Bombyx mori: one gene and its partner. The protein of the gene in region 1 interacts with the protein of each later gene in a biochemical or structural test. Links are inferred from orthologs where the notes say so. Each region holds a gene or a part of one and is shown on either strand. Other genes may lie near its edges.

Region 1 (7,575 bases):
GCAAAAATCATTTATATATTTTCCTCGAGAAACTAACACACGCTCACTCGTTTATAATTAATAATTTTAATTCCGTTATGTTAATTATTATTTATTGGCACAGTTTTCGGTGTTGAAATGTCTTTAGAGGAAATAAAGATGTTGTACTAATAAAAGCTTAGTTTTTATGAGCTAGGACTTTCACTTGTACAAAACTAGGCTAAAAAAGAGGCTAATCAATAAGTTAGTGCTATATATTTGACAAGTGCAATTTTATATTTGGATTATTGAACTATTTGATAACATTGCACTAACATTGGTGTAAATTTTAATCTTATTTTATGGAAATGGCACTATTAAGGTACAAGTTATTTGTGCTATTCTTATTGCGGTGGTGGTTTACACTATTTCAAATTACTTAAAAAAATACATATTACTAACATAAGCGAAACATTTCTGTCAACGGACAACAATGGTGACATTCCAGAAATGAAAACACTAAATCTCTATACTAAAGATGAGTCGTCTATTATCAAAGGTGGCAATCTGTGCATTTGGACAAAAAAATGTTATTGATATGTCAATACAGATTGATTTGAATATAATCGTCTCCTTCAAAGAATACGGTTCAAAACCTGCATTAAATAAAGGTTAATAGTTAACCTGTTATTTATCTAAGATGTCGTTCCGAAGAGTTTTGTGACTGCCAATGGAATACAAAGTCAATAATTCGTTTTTCTGATTTACCAATAATTGTCCAAAAGTCACATTGCCGGCTTTGATAATAGTCGACTCAGATATAGTAGCTACATGAAAATGAATTAGTATAACAATATTTTTTTAAATGATATAATTTTTTTTTGTTGAACCAGGAAATATATACAAAAAGCACAAAACAATTACACACAGAAATTACTTTTGCGAAAACTAGATCCGACATTGCATTCATTAAAGTCTATAGTGAACATTATTTAAATTGCTAGTACGCGTTAATAATGTTAAAAACGATACAAAGTGACGCAGCGAAACAATTTTTAACATAAGGGATGTGATAATGTACATCAGACTTTATTTTCTAGGAATTTAAAACAATTTTTTTTTTGTATAAAGTAAGTACACAAAAGATTACAATAACATTTCATTTAAAACATAAATTCAAACATTCGAAATACTGACAACTTAATTAAAATGAAATATACTAACAACGATATGTATGCTACATAACAGCAAACAACACATTAACGTTTTAAAAAAGGGATATGAATATCTGGTAGACTCACATACCAGAAATATCTTTAGTAATCCAGAGTAATTATTCTATTGCATTATATCAAAGAGAAAAACTACAGTCAACATTCGTAGCAGCAGGAACTGTCTCCTGTATAGGTTTGTTAGAAACAGATGTGAAGGTTCTTACATGTTGTATTTAATACTTAAAAATTTAAGTCTTATTAATTATTATTTTTAACAAATAACTTTGTATATTGCAATGTAATAAAAGATAACATTTTAAGGACATTTCAAAAAAATGCACAATTTTTGGTTCAATGTTACGTGACAATCTGCTCTTGTACATTTCTTAAGCATGACTCAGTATTATCTGTCTTCATATAAAAATACCACATCGGTGTTGTCTTTCTGAAACTGTCCCTAAAACCCTTTCAACACGAGTGGTTTATGTGGGGGGCGATCGTCCGTTGACGACGGTAGGCGCGTCCTTCCAGGACCTGCCCTTCTTCACAACTCTCTTTCTAACGACCTTTTTAATAGTGACATGCTCATCGGTTACTACTTTCCTTGGACGTTTAACCTTCCTCTCTTCAATAACGAATGAATCATCAAATATATCACCACTTGAATTCACTGAACTTTTTTCACCGATCACTTCACTGATTGGACTGTCGAAAGAGACTTGTCTGCCTTTAGCCTTTTCAACGGAGGTCTGTGTCGCGATGTTCGCGTGATTTTTCTTGGTCGGAGGCGTGGCCTTCGGCGCTAGTCTGGTCTTTTTAACTTTGACTACTAAAGCAGGTTCGGTGGATTTCCTTTTTGTTTGTCTGATGTTTGTAATTTTTTCTGGTCCGTCAGCAACCGTATCAGTGGTGACTTTGGTGAGCTTGCCTCTCCGCTTAGTCACTTTGTTCTCTTTGAGGCTGTCGTCCTCGCTGTCTTGTGTTCTTGTTTTCGGTTTTTTCTTTGGTGTAAATTCTAGTTTACTTGTTTTTGTTTTCCCTTCCTTTTTGAGGTAAGTTTCGAAGAGTTGCCGACATTTCGCGTAATCTGGTATTTGTTTGGGCTCCAATGTGTTTATGTACTCAAAGAATTTTATTAGAGCATCTGAAAAATTATAGGTAAAGTTGTATATTTTCATATCGAAGTAGAATTGGATTAAGTTAGATTTATTTAGAAGTCATCATGGTCTAAAGGTTAAGACGTCCGGTATCTAGCGTGGCAACGGTGTTCGAATCCCGGTAGCGGGTACCAATTTTTCCAATAAAATAATTACTTAATAAATGTTCATGATTGACTTCCATGGTGAAGGAATAACATCGTGTAATAAAAATTAAGTAAGGCAGCTGCTGTAATGCAATAACTAAGACACAGAACTCATGTTTAAAAGGGGGGGGGGCTTTGTCATTGTAGATGTTTATGGGTTCCAGTCACCACTAATCACCAGGTGGACCATAAGCTTGTCCAACCAATTAACCAATAAAAAAACCTTGGTACTAATCATGTTAATTGAGCAGGGCTGGTGGACGCCAAATACAAAAATAAATGCAGAGTGGAGAGATTACTCTATCACTTACATTTGGATTACATTACAACTTTGTGACTGAAACAGGTCAGATGTTGTACTTATTCATTCCCGTTGAATAATTACTAAAATTTTATAAATTGTTCATTGCATTAAATTTTAGGAAGAGGCATACCTAAGAAAAAATGGATGGATTGCTTGAAATACGATATGTGTAAGAGGGGAGTGAGCGAAGAAATGGTATATGATGGAGAAGCATGGAAAAAGAATACATGTTTGCTGACCCCAGGTGACTGGGAGAAGGGCAGGAGAATCATGATTAAACATACCGGGAACATCATGGTACTGTTTTGTGATGTTGGCTTTCACGTTTTTCATGAAGGCTTCTTTCAATGTTTGAACAGTACGAGGTTCTTTCAATGATTTTTCCCATGGCAGTTCCCCTGTTATCCACTGCAGCATGTTGTAGCCCAAAATCTCTAGATCACCACGCATCGTCGGTACTAAAATATAAATTTATGCAGATATGATGATGAACTGATGTACAGTTTGCAGTAATTGTAAAATGTACGAAACATTCCAAGTTTTTATTCATGTCTCGATCAGTGAAGTAAATTTTTTCATGTCTTCCAGGTGTCCACTACACTGCCCACTTGGTGAGTTCATTATCTCAACCCAGACACCATTACGTCAATGACGCCGATTGCTTTAAGGCATAAGGTAGAGCTCATAAATTCTGAATGCATAACTGCTCAGTGGTGGAAATGGAGAATAGTGGTCTCAATCTGTGCATGCTCAGCAGTATATATTTGGGCTCTAATGTGATTATGTACTTAAGAATTTTAGAATAGAAAAATTATGCTTAGTGTATGTAAAGAGCAGGCATATGGGTATGCCCTGTCACTAGTACAGCCACCATTCCAAATAGGTTGACATTTCGATTTGAGATATGAAGACACAGCAACATTCTAGTCCATTACGTCAATGTACTAGAGAAACCAAAATATAAGAGGATCATCATCTCATTAAAAAATAACAGCACTCACCACCTAAGTGTGCATCACGACTTGTGTACTCAATAGTTCCATTATGGGCAGATTTAGGGTCTGGTTTGAACTCTTTGTCATTGACCCGAGAAGCCAATCCAAAGTCTACGAGGTAAGCTTGGTGTTCTTTCCCTTTCTTCAATCCCATCAGAATATTAGCTCCTTTGATGTCAGCGTGAACATAGCCCCGATTATGTATGTACTCTAATATGTCTAGCTGATAAACAAATTTTTAGGGTTAAGAAAAAATACTACAACTGCCTGCCAAATAACTCTCATGTTTATGATGTAGGGACTAGGGTATCATAAGCCTTGAAGAAATTAGTGGCAGCCATGTGTTAACATATGATGCAGTTTGCTGGTACAAAGTCACCTGGACTGACTAGATAGTGCAATAGCACACTGGTCATATTTAGGCAGATTTAAACTAATCATCTGTGCAATTAAAGCTCGGGTTACTCTATTGCTCTGAATAGTAAACTTCATTATTATAGATAAGTGACTAATATTAAAAAAAAGTAATGTTTAAAAAAAAAAGACATGCCCGCTGAGTTTCTTGCCAATTCTTCTCAGGGCGGAGGCTAGTTTTTGTGAATTGGATGTTGAATAAAATTTTTTTGATTTGATTTGATTTGATGGTAGGGTTTTTTGTGACCCTACACAGATAAATACCACCACCATACTTATTTCTGCTGTGAAGCAGTATTGGGTTTCAGTTTGAAAAATGGGGCAGCTGCAGAACTATAACACTGAGAACATTGAAACTTTCTGGGTGGAATGTGAGCTCACCTACCCTTATAAGCAAATCCAAAAAATTGGTCTTAATATTTTAAATGTAGAATGTGTACGCTAGGTATGCTATCTCATTTATAGGTATAGGTTTAAACACATGGATTGAGCTTAAATCATCACACTATGAACCTGTATTGATCAATATGATAATATGGCTGTCTGCTAGTACTGAAATTAAGACTTAGTACTACTTTATCAGATGTCACTAGATTGCATTAAGGTCTATGGTAATCTTATAATCATTTAGGACCAGAATCATGAACTTGGCTTGCCACCTACAGATACTAATAAGTTTTCATCACTAAATAAAATATTAGTATTACTAACCATTTGTGATCCTAATTGGAAGACTGCAGTCGGTGAGAATAACCTCTGACTCTCCAGGAAAATGCTCCAAATGTCTTTACCATATCTTTCTAATATAAGGTACCTGTACTTTTCACCTTTGTACATGTGAGAGCCGCTGCCAAAATGAGTCGGCATTCCAAGGCTCGTTAGTTTCCTTTCCTTCATAAACTGTGAAACTGAAATGGTATAGGGCGGTATGGGTGAATTAACTCATTGCAAAAGTGATTTCAACTAGTCCTCCCCTGTAGTCCCACCTCTACTGGTGGTAGGACCTCTTGTGAGTCTGCGCGGGTAGGTACCACCACCCTGCCTATTTCTGCCGTGAAGCAGTAATGCGTTTCGGTTTGAAGGATGGGGTGGCGGTCGTAACTATACTTGAGACCTTAGAACTTTTATCTCAAGGTGGGTGGCGCATTTACGTCGTAGATGTCTATGGGCTCCAGTAACCACTTAACACCAGGTGGGCTGTGAGCTCGTCCACCCATGTAAGCAAAAAAAAAAGTTACCAGAGCCTATAAGCATGACAATGTGAATGCTACCAAGTGATGGTATCTTGTGGGTACAAGACACATTTCACAGTGTCAATTATATTGTAGAAGCTAATTTAAATATCAAACTGGACAAATAACTGCTTCACACCAGGAATAGGCAGGATGGTTAGGCAGGCATTTTATTCCTATTTATCTGCCTCTAGCCTCAAGCTATTCTGGCTTCGCCTTGGTTGGACGGTAAACTCACCCACCAGGTTGGAATTTGACCCACTGCACTGCGAGAAGATCCACAGTCAAACAAGCTGGGTTTTGTCTGTGTGTGCCATATTACTAATAGAATTTTTATAGTAAGGACTTCTAAACATCAGAGCAAAATGCCACCCCTCAACTCAAAGCTTTATGCACAAATCTCTAGTGGCCTTTAGAGGTCAATAAAATCAACCTTTTTATTAAAATTTCATTAGTACATTTGACAAATACCTACTATCATCTTTGTTGGCATTTCTAAGGTAAAAGTGTTTCTCAACAAACAAGGGTCCATTCTCATGAGGTTCCTGTAACAAGATTGTATTTCACAAAATATATTTATAGTCGGATTTTTTATTAGACGAAATAACTGACGTTTACTGTGTTGTCAGTTTTTGATGAAATAAAAATAGTGTTGTGACAAAGTGAACGATTGAAAAAACTCCTGAATTAATGAAATTGCCTCGATTGTCTAGTGAATAGTTAGTGTGCCGAACTGCCGATATCGGGCACGGGGTTCGAATTTTAGTCGTGCTTTGTACATACCAACGAGTTTTCGACGAAACATTATGTTCCTATGGTATCTACCTGTACTGAATACCGAGTGTTTTAAACATTAAGAAAAACATTGCGAGGAAGCTTGTAAGACTGTCCTATTTCCAATGCATCATATAGTTGAAACTATAGATGTATAAAATATAACAATTATAGGTACATAGGTAATGAAAATAAAAAAAACTGATTGTAGTTACATACTACTAGTAACATATTATTATATTGGATCACTTTAATACAATTTTATTGTAAAATATAAATAATATTCTTTTATAGTTTGAAATTAATGATTAACTCTTCACACTCATTGTTCATTTATGTGATTGAACGAGAACTGAACGCATCACTATTACTTTAAATATAGCAACATTATTTCACAAAGTGACATTAGCTACTGTCAGCTGGCTTCGTCTAATTAAAAATCCGACTATAGTTTAACATCAAAATATATGCAGATTTATATATTCAGCAGTAATTTTACAGTTTTAAGTGGTTTTAGTCATTTGCATGTTGAGAGGCTGAATATTCTAAGGTGCACCTTGAAATGGTATTGAATTGTATTGATTGAAATTACAAATATAAATTTATTAATTTCAATTTGCATGTCATTGAACTTTTTTATTGAAAGCCATAATAAATTCTATATCTACTAAATCGATACAGTCGAGAGATACAATCCCAACAAGAATGTGAAAACACTCAACAGCATGTAAATGATATACTTGAGTTTTTATGATTATAGCAGTAAGATGAAAAGATTTGCAGTTCCTCACTTACACACCAGGTCATCTAGTAATATTATTTTCTAAATCTTTGACTTAACAGTTTGCATTATTGCAGAATCATTCCTTGGTAGTTTTCTTAAATCTATGAACAGGTAGTACTAGAATATTTGTGAGATTTTGTAATGTATTGGTGTAGAGTAATATTTACCTATTTTGCATAGAAATATATTAATACAATTTGAATATTGTACGGTTTGTCCGCACAACCCTCTACTGTGATAATGATAACAACTCCAATACTGATTAATTGTTTATTGATACGAGTATGCTGGTTATGATTATTTATATGATAACAATGACATTATGCGAGTACGCGACGCCTTGCTGATGGCGGTACACGAACTGAACGAAAATGAATGACTTTGACGTAAAATGCATCTGTATGCAATATGATGTGCGCGCTGGCCCTGTACAAATATAAAAAATACAACCAGATGCAAACAAATTCTGTATTATAATTTGAAAACGAAACCATGTTTATTTTCACTATAAGTCTGTTTGAATGCACTTAAATAAGTTTTTAGTGGCTCCTTATTTTACGATTGTTGTATGTATGATTTGGCGCGTAAAAAACTTCT
Region 2 (7,668 bases), on another chromosome or scaffold:
TTTTTTTTACTTTTGGCAGATTGCATTCTTAAATCTCTACTTATCATCCAGTGTCACACTTAAGAAATGCACGCCATATTCAGATCTGAACAATGTTTTAATAAGTTCGTCAGTCAGTGCTGGTAATTGAAGTTCTTACATCGATTACACACACGTACGATCAACGGAGTTGCTTTGAGTGTTGTGCAAAGTTTCAACATCACATCAGTTTACAGAGTCGGCCGTTATTAAGGTGTTCCAGTTTAATTCCTTTGGATCACATTGTAATTTATATTATAAGCGGAACGGCGGTAAGGCAGGGTCTAGTAATATATGTATTCTTACCTCTCTTTAAAACGTACAATTTATTCATTTTACCAACCATTTTAGTATTTTACAATTCTCGACGGAAAACAAAATAAATGCTATTTAATCTAGACAAACTTATAAACTTGAAATGTATCTTGATTTTGATAACACACTCATTAAATTAAAACTATTACTGTTCTTTACTCTCTCAATATATCGTCAGCAACAAGTGAGGAACAACTGACTCTGACGTTAAACTTGAAATAGGCGGGAAACACCGCAGTAGAACCGCTACTTTTATTTTTCTACTGGAAAGGCGAAAGTATCATCCCATACAGCTTAATTTTTTTTAAATTTAATTATTTAATTTTTATTTATTTTTTATTTTTAATAATTATTATTATATTATAATACTTTGTATTGATTGTATGTATATTTACGGAGATATGTATGTGTATATGTATGTGTACATATATGTATATGTATTTCACTGGAATGGTACACCGCGCGTAGTTCGTTTCCAAATGATTCTTGTCCACCTGATGGTTGTCTGGAAGAGATCGCTCTTAGCGATAAGACCGCCAATTGTACTTTTTTGTTTTTAATGTATCGCACTGTGTATTTGTTTTTTGGTGTACAATAAAGAATACTCTCTCTCTCTCTCTTAATCTTTTGTATATTCAATTTCATGAAAAATGATAACCAGACTTTTGGAAGAACCCGAGAAGCTACATCCGGCAGTTTTGTTTTATTTCCTCACATTTGCGTACTTTCACAAATACCAAACAGTTAAGAAACCACCTTTATAACACATTTAAACTTGAAGAAACGTTAAATTAAATGACTATAAAACTAACATTTAATAAAGTAATAAAAATAATCTTCGGATATATATACTGACTTATGATGGTTACAAATAGTAAGAAGTTCAGTTCTAACAATAACAATTTATACAACTTCATTCCTTGAGTTCTAGCGTTCCACAATTGAAAATCCGCACGAGTCGAAATTATCTTTTGCTTTATTTGTTCCGTTCGTACATCTGATACAAAAGGTATAAAGCCATTAGTCTTGGAGTTCTTGGTTCTTGAAGTGTGATATGATTCCCGATGCATTCGTATCAAACGCTGCAACTGTGAATCCCGCAAACAGGTACGAATTTTTGTAATGAAATACGTAAGTGTGTATGTATATAAGAAGTGTTCATAATTGACTTCCACAGTGGAGGAATAACAATAAGAAATAAAAAGCAAACTCACAAAAATTAAAAGATGCATAGTTATGTGATAGGGCACCTTGTGAATGCGCACGAGTAGGTATGTACCATGACCCGGCCTATATCGGCCATGAAGCAGTAATTCGTTTCGGTTTGAAGCATGCGTCCGCCGTTGTACTGAAGAATTGAGACTTAAAACTCATATTTCATGGTGAGTGGCAGCATTTACGTTGTTGATGTCTATGGACTCCGGTAACCACTTACCACCTGGTGGGCTGTGAGATGGTCCACCCATCTAAGCAATTTTTTTTTTTTTAAGAACTTAAAACTTTCCTTTCATGTCGTTGCCATACCCGTGGATTTCAGATAGTCGTTAAGGATGACAACCCGTGTGATATCATAGCAAAGCGAGATGCGCTCCGAGTTAAATGCGCCACCCTGCATCCGTCTAACTTCGTTTGAGTACTATCTCATAAGAAAATTTAATATTCAATCAATACTCTCTAATTACGAGAACATTTTTTTTTTAATTTAACATTACATTGTAGCTTACATGTAATAATAGATTGACTTTTCCATCGATGTATTTAAACAAACAGGTTCTGGCAACAAAAAAGCGGTTACCACATCTAGGTAAAAAGGCTTCAACCTATAAGTAGTTTAAAACTATTAAATTCATGTCATAGGGCCTATGTCCTGTAGTGCACGACTGTGGGCTGAATATGATGATGACGATAATGATATTATTGTATGAGTATTTAGGAATTAGAGTAGAATATAGAATCCACTTTTCATCACATGTCACAATTCGATCCAATATTCCTTCATTTCTGTATCGATTCAACAAGGCAACACAAGTTTCAACATGCCTTTCTTTCTGCAGATCAGTCAAATCATGCGGCACCCATTTTTCATAGGAATTTTTTTATTTTATTGATTTGACGCAAATGAGTCAATATTGTTGTTAAGGTAACTAACGTTAAACCATGCCGCTAATTCCTGGGTAGTTTGGCTCGGATCGGCTTCCACTATGTATCTCTTTCAATTCATTATTATTCACACGTGTGGACGGTCTTCTACGTGGTTCGTTCTTCAAATCAAAATTTCCATCTTAAAAGCGATTAAACCAAAATCGCACGGTGCGTCCATTAGCAGTCTGTTGAAGAGCTAACGTAACCTACTTGCACGAAATTATACATACTGGCCATTAATAAGCGTTTGTTTTTAAAAACATTTCTGTCATTAATATTCTGGTGTATTGATTTTAATATGAACGTAATGTTTCATAAAATTATAATGGTTGAATGCAAATAAAACAACAATATTATCTTACATACTATTTTAATTCATATCACAGGCATCTCTCCAAACGCAACATTGACATTGCGAGCTGTTTCGGCAGCGTTAGTTCCGCGTCGGATCTTTTATTCAAAAATCATTCGAATTTTCGAAGTATCCATCTTTCTTGTCTAAGCTGAATAAAAAAAACAACTGAAAGTCTTTAACCGAATCTTGCACTTTTTTTAAAAGAAGAACCTCATAGGTACCATACCATTTGTAAAAAGTTTTTGTTGGACGGTTAAATAGAAATTCCAACAGTTTTACTCAAAAATCTCAAACCATGAAGGCTCTTTGTTAATTCGAAGTACCTATTACAACAAAAAGGCAATTTCATATTTTAACCCTTATTACAAAAGCCTAGGTTCCCGTTGCCAGTCCAATCGTGAAATAAAATAAATAACAAAGCATAGATAATACATTTTTTTTTTTAAGAGATTTTATGACCTGGTAACTAAGACCTTTAAGTCATGTCTTATTTTACTTTATATTCTTAATTTTATGAAAAATGATAATATGGAGTGAAATGAAATGAAGATGATTAATTTGAGACATTAATCAACTGGGATGAAATTTAATGAAATGAGATGATATGGGATGAAATATAATCGCAGTAAAATGGTGGTCATTTACTGAGATTTTTTCAGTGGACTTTTTGGAGGAACCCGAGAAGTTACGTCCAGCAGCTTTGTTTCATTTTCCCACATTTGTGCACTTTCACAGATATTAAACAGTTAATAAACCACCGTTATTACACATTTAAACCTGAAGAAACACTAAATAGACAAAATAAAACAAATCACACAACTTCACTGCTCGCGTTCCCGCCAAAAAGTCCCATAGATAATAAATTTTTTTTTAAGAGATTTTATGACCTGGTAACTAAGACCTTTAAGTCATGTCTTATTTTACTTTATATTCTTAATTTTATGAAAAATGATAATATGGAGTGAAATGAAATGAAGATGATTAATTTGAAACATTAATCAACTGGGATGAAATTTAATGAAATGAGATGATATGGGATGAGATATAATCGCAGTAAAATGGTGGTCATTTACTGAGATTTTTTCAGTGGACTTTTTGGAGGAACCCGAGAAGTTACGTCCAGCAGCTTTGTTTCATTTTCCCACATTTGTGCACTTTCACAGATATCAAACAGTTAATAAACCACCATTATTACACATTTAAACCTGAAGAAACACTAAATAGACAAAATAAAACAAATCACACAACTTCACTCCTCGCGTTCCCGCCAAAAAGTCCATAGATAATACATAAACATAGGTACCATAGATTATACACTTAATATATTCGAGATAGGTACACAGGGTACACTTAATTAAGTTTATGACAACAAAATACACAAAAAAACTAATAAACTTCGTAAAGATAGACAAATATAAAATTTGTTTCTTTCTATAAGTACAATAAACAAAGTTTTTTACGAAAATGTCGAGTACATCACAAAAACATAGAAACTTTGTTGCTGAGCCAATGGGTGAGAAACCAGTAACAGAATTGGCGGGCGTGGGTGAAGTTTTAGGAAAACGACTTGAAACCGGGGGCTTCGATAAGGTTACAGTATAATTTTATCTCAAAAGTGCAGCTTTTGTATGTTTCATCAATGCTCAAGTGATCCTAAATGTTTTAAAATAATCTTATCAAATTGAAAATTGATCTTTACATATATATACTGCTCGGAAAACTGTTTAATGCAATATCTTTAAGCAGGTGTTTTAAACTTGAGAATAAATTTCAGTACTATTTCATTAAGAGTTAAATTAAATCCTGCATAGATTAATTGTGATAGAAATCGTATAAAGAATGTTGTTATTAAGCAGTAATCAATTATGGAATAAAATCTTTAAAAAAAATGTTGCTTAGCTTCCTTGCCCTCCAAGATGACCAATTACATGTATACCTAGGTGTTAAAAAAAGATAAATCAAGAACAACTACAAAGCAGTAATGTTTCTGCATTAAACTAGTGTTAGTTACCCTAATGTGAAATGTATTAGTTTCGTGAAAATGCCAAGATTAATTCATTCTTACATAGTCTTCAGATTTTGGATGCAATTTTCATTAAAATTACTAGCAAGATAACAGTTTTAATACCAAAATCTATATATATAAATGAATTGCTGTTCGTTAGTCTCGCTAACTTGAGAACAGCTGGACTGATTTGGCTAATTTTGGTCTTGGAGTATTTGTGGAAGTCCAGAGAAGGTTTAAAAGGTAGATAAATATGAAAATGCTCGGAATTAAATAAAAATAAGAATGTATTTTATTCATCGATTGAGGCACTACGAATTCTGCCGGGTCAGCTAGTATATAATATAATTACATTTGTTCCCTTTTTATTTTTCTCATTTACTATATTATGTATCATAAAATAACACTTACCATTTTCAGGCCTATGTCGTCTTGGGTCAATTTTTGGTACTAAAGAAAGATAAAGAGTTATTTCAAGAATGGATGAAGGACGCCTGCAGTGCAAACTCTAAACAGTCAGCAGATTGTTATCAGTGTTTGAAGGATTGGTGTGATGAGTTTTTGTAATTTTTATCCATATAACATTTATTATATTTTATTATTGCATTGTTTGAAATAATGTACATAATGTAATTTTAAGACTACATAAGTAAAATATATGTTCTACAATAATTATTTGTATTATTTAATATTTAAAAATGTTGAAGAAATAAAGTCCCAATTAAGAGTAATTAAATATAATCTTTGCTGGAAAAACACGAAGTCTTCTGTTATTTATGACAATGACTTGAATTTATTTATAAAACAATAAATAGTAATCCAAATATTTTGCAAAAGAATCAAATATATGTTCTCATAATGTTTTTCAACTATTTTACTTTATTAAGCTATTTCTTAGAATGTCTACTTTTCTAAGAAGTGCGTCATTTTTATGACCTATATTTGCATAACCATATGATATCACTCACCTAATGTTTAGATGCCAATAAGCATCACAGTATTGAGTGGGTGCAGTAATTTTCATTGAGTTAATCTCAATGAAAATCATTAACTTTCATTGGAATAGCAGAAATATATTCGTTCAGTGCAGAATGCATCATTACAGAATATCTTACTGCAATGTTAGAGACAGGAGTAAATTATTAAGGGATCAAAATAAGAAGTGCGTCAATTGTTATTTATTTTATAGCATATCTAAAAAGCTTAGACAATATATTTCAATTGTAAATAATGTAATGTTTTTTAAATCATGTAGATGTTCATAATTGCTACCTTCTTTTTGGTATTGGTTGGAATACATTCAGTATAATGTCATATGTGGTATATGTTTGTAGTAAATGGATAATAACATCACCAGTTTAGTCCATGCATCATTACATCACATTTCATCATAATATTACAATGGAATACCAAGGTCAATGGTGCAACAGTAATTAATCCATGCATCCATTACGATAATCAGAAGCGCGGCAGGGCCCCTAGGCTCTTATTAGTAGTACTGATCCATGGGCGGCCGTGCAAAGTTAAATCATTACCAAATATATTTTAATTTCATCTATCATAGTTTAGGGTAATGTTTACATCATGCATATATGTAGAAGTGGGCCTTGGATGCCATTTAAATTGGAAAAGAAATAATTGAAATTAATAATTAAGTTTTTAATAGTTATTTTTTATTAAGCCATAAACACCACAAAAAATATGAAAAAGAATATTAAAACCCCAAAAACTTTAAACATTAACGCCCTATTTCCAGTTACATTTTGGAAATATTTCAATATTTCTCTGTGGCCAGCTTCAACATTCATTTCTGCCTCATGAATGTTTGCATCAATTCTACCAATAGCTTCATCTTGTTCTTTTACCATATGAGCCAATTGTTGAAATATGCCTCCCAACTCCACAATAGTGCTTTCAATGTTATGCATAGTTTCAGCTCTCTGTTGTACATATGAGTCTGTATCATCTCTGAATGCAAATTGCTGTGCTTGTAAACTTGTAGCTTCACCCAAATCTATGCTTACTTCATCTTGTTGCAATAGAGATGGTACCTCTTTTACAACCGGTGTCACCCTTGAAAATTGTTCACGCCTGCTGTTCTGTTGCTTCAAATTTTCTGAACGAACTTCTAAGACCTGCAAACATTAATTTATAAGTTCATTACATCATAAAATTTTCTGACTTTAATTTCGTTCATAATTAAACAGCTAAACTTAAAATATGGTGAACTTTTACGAAAAAAAAGTGGAACAGTATAATATAGATCAGTAAAATTTCAAAGAACTAAATTGGGCTTTTTTTTTTTATTGCCCTTGTAGGCAGACGAGCATACGGCCCACCTGATGGTGAGTGGTTACCGTCGCCCATGGACTTCAGCAATGCCAGGGGCAGAGCCAAGCCGCTGCCTACCGTTTAATACTCTCCACAAGCCTCGTTTGAAGAAGGACATGTCATAGCGCTCGGGAAACACCGTGGAGGGGAGCTCATTCCATAGCCGGATGGTACGTGGCAAAAAAGATCTCTGGAAACGCACTGTGGATGACCGCAGTGGCTCCAGGTAGTATGGATGAACTCTACTCCGGTGGCGGGCGGTGCGATGGTAAAAACGAGATGCCGGTATCATCTCGAACAATTCCTCAGAGCACTCCCCATGGAACATACGGTACAGAATACAGAGGGAACCGAAATCCCTCCGCAGACCCAGAGGCTCCAAACGATCCGTGAGAATGGGATTGTCGACAATCCGAACGGCTCTCCTCTGTATGGAGTCAAATGGAAGAAGCTGGTATTTGGGAGTCCCGGCCCAGAGATGGGAGCAGTACTCCACGCGAGG

The links. The genes of interacting proteins can lie anywhere in the genome.
Region 2: of the proteins of nucleosomal histone kinase 1 (region 1) and barrier-to-autointegration factor B, one has a biochemical effect on the other in vitro, tested with the Caenorhabditis elegans proteins (2 studies listed by BioGRID). The link is inferred for Bombyx mori from reciprocal best matches to the Caenorhabditis elegans genes vrk-1 and baf-1.

The regions. Positions count from the first base shown.
Region 1 is NC_085109.1:14,103,836-14,111,410, forward strand, and holds part of nucleosomal histone kinase 1, read right to left. Parts: intron 5,966-7,575; coding exon 5,896-5,965; intron 5,097-5,895; coding exon 4,900-5,096; intron 3,998-4,899; coding exon 3,781-3,997; intron 3,238-3,780; coding exon 3,064-3,237; intron 2,317-3,063; coding exon 1,655-2,316; 3' UTR 1-1,654. UniProt on the Caenorhabditis elegans protein: Serine/threonine kinase that phosphorylates baf-1, thus regulating the association of baf-1 with chromatin and nuclear membrane proteins during nuclear envelope formation. May act through the egl-17 signaling pathway.
Region 2 is NC_085118.1:10,678,104-10,685,771, forward strand, and holds barrier-to-autointegration factor B, read left to right. Parts: upstream 1-4,108; 5' UTR 4,109-4,294; coding exon 4,295-4,420; intron 4,421-5,255; coding exon 5,256-5,402; 3' UTR 5,403-5,507; downstream 5,508-7,668. Other genes in the region: ribonucleoside-diphosphate reductase large subunit, read right to left, coding at 325-364; syntaxin 5A, read right to left, coding at 6,512-6,970. UniProt on the Caenorhabditis elegans protein: DNA-binding protein which plays an essential role in nuclear envelope formation. Required for normal chromosome segregation during mitosis. Associates with the nuclear lamina via its interaction with LEM domain containing proteins emr-1 and lem-2.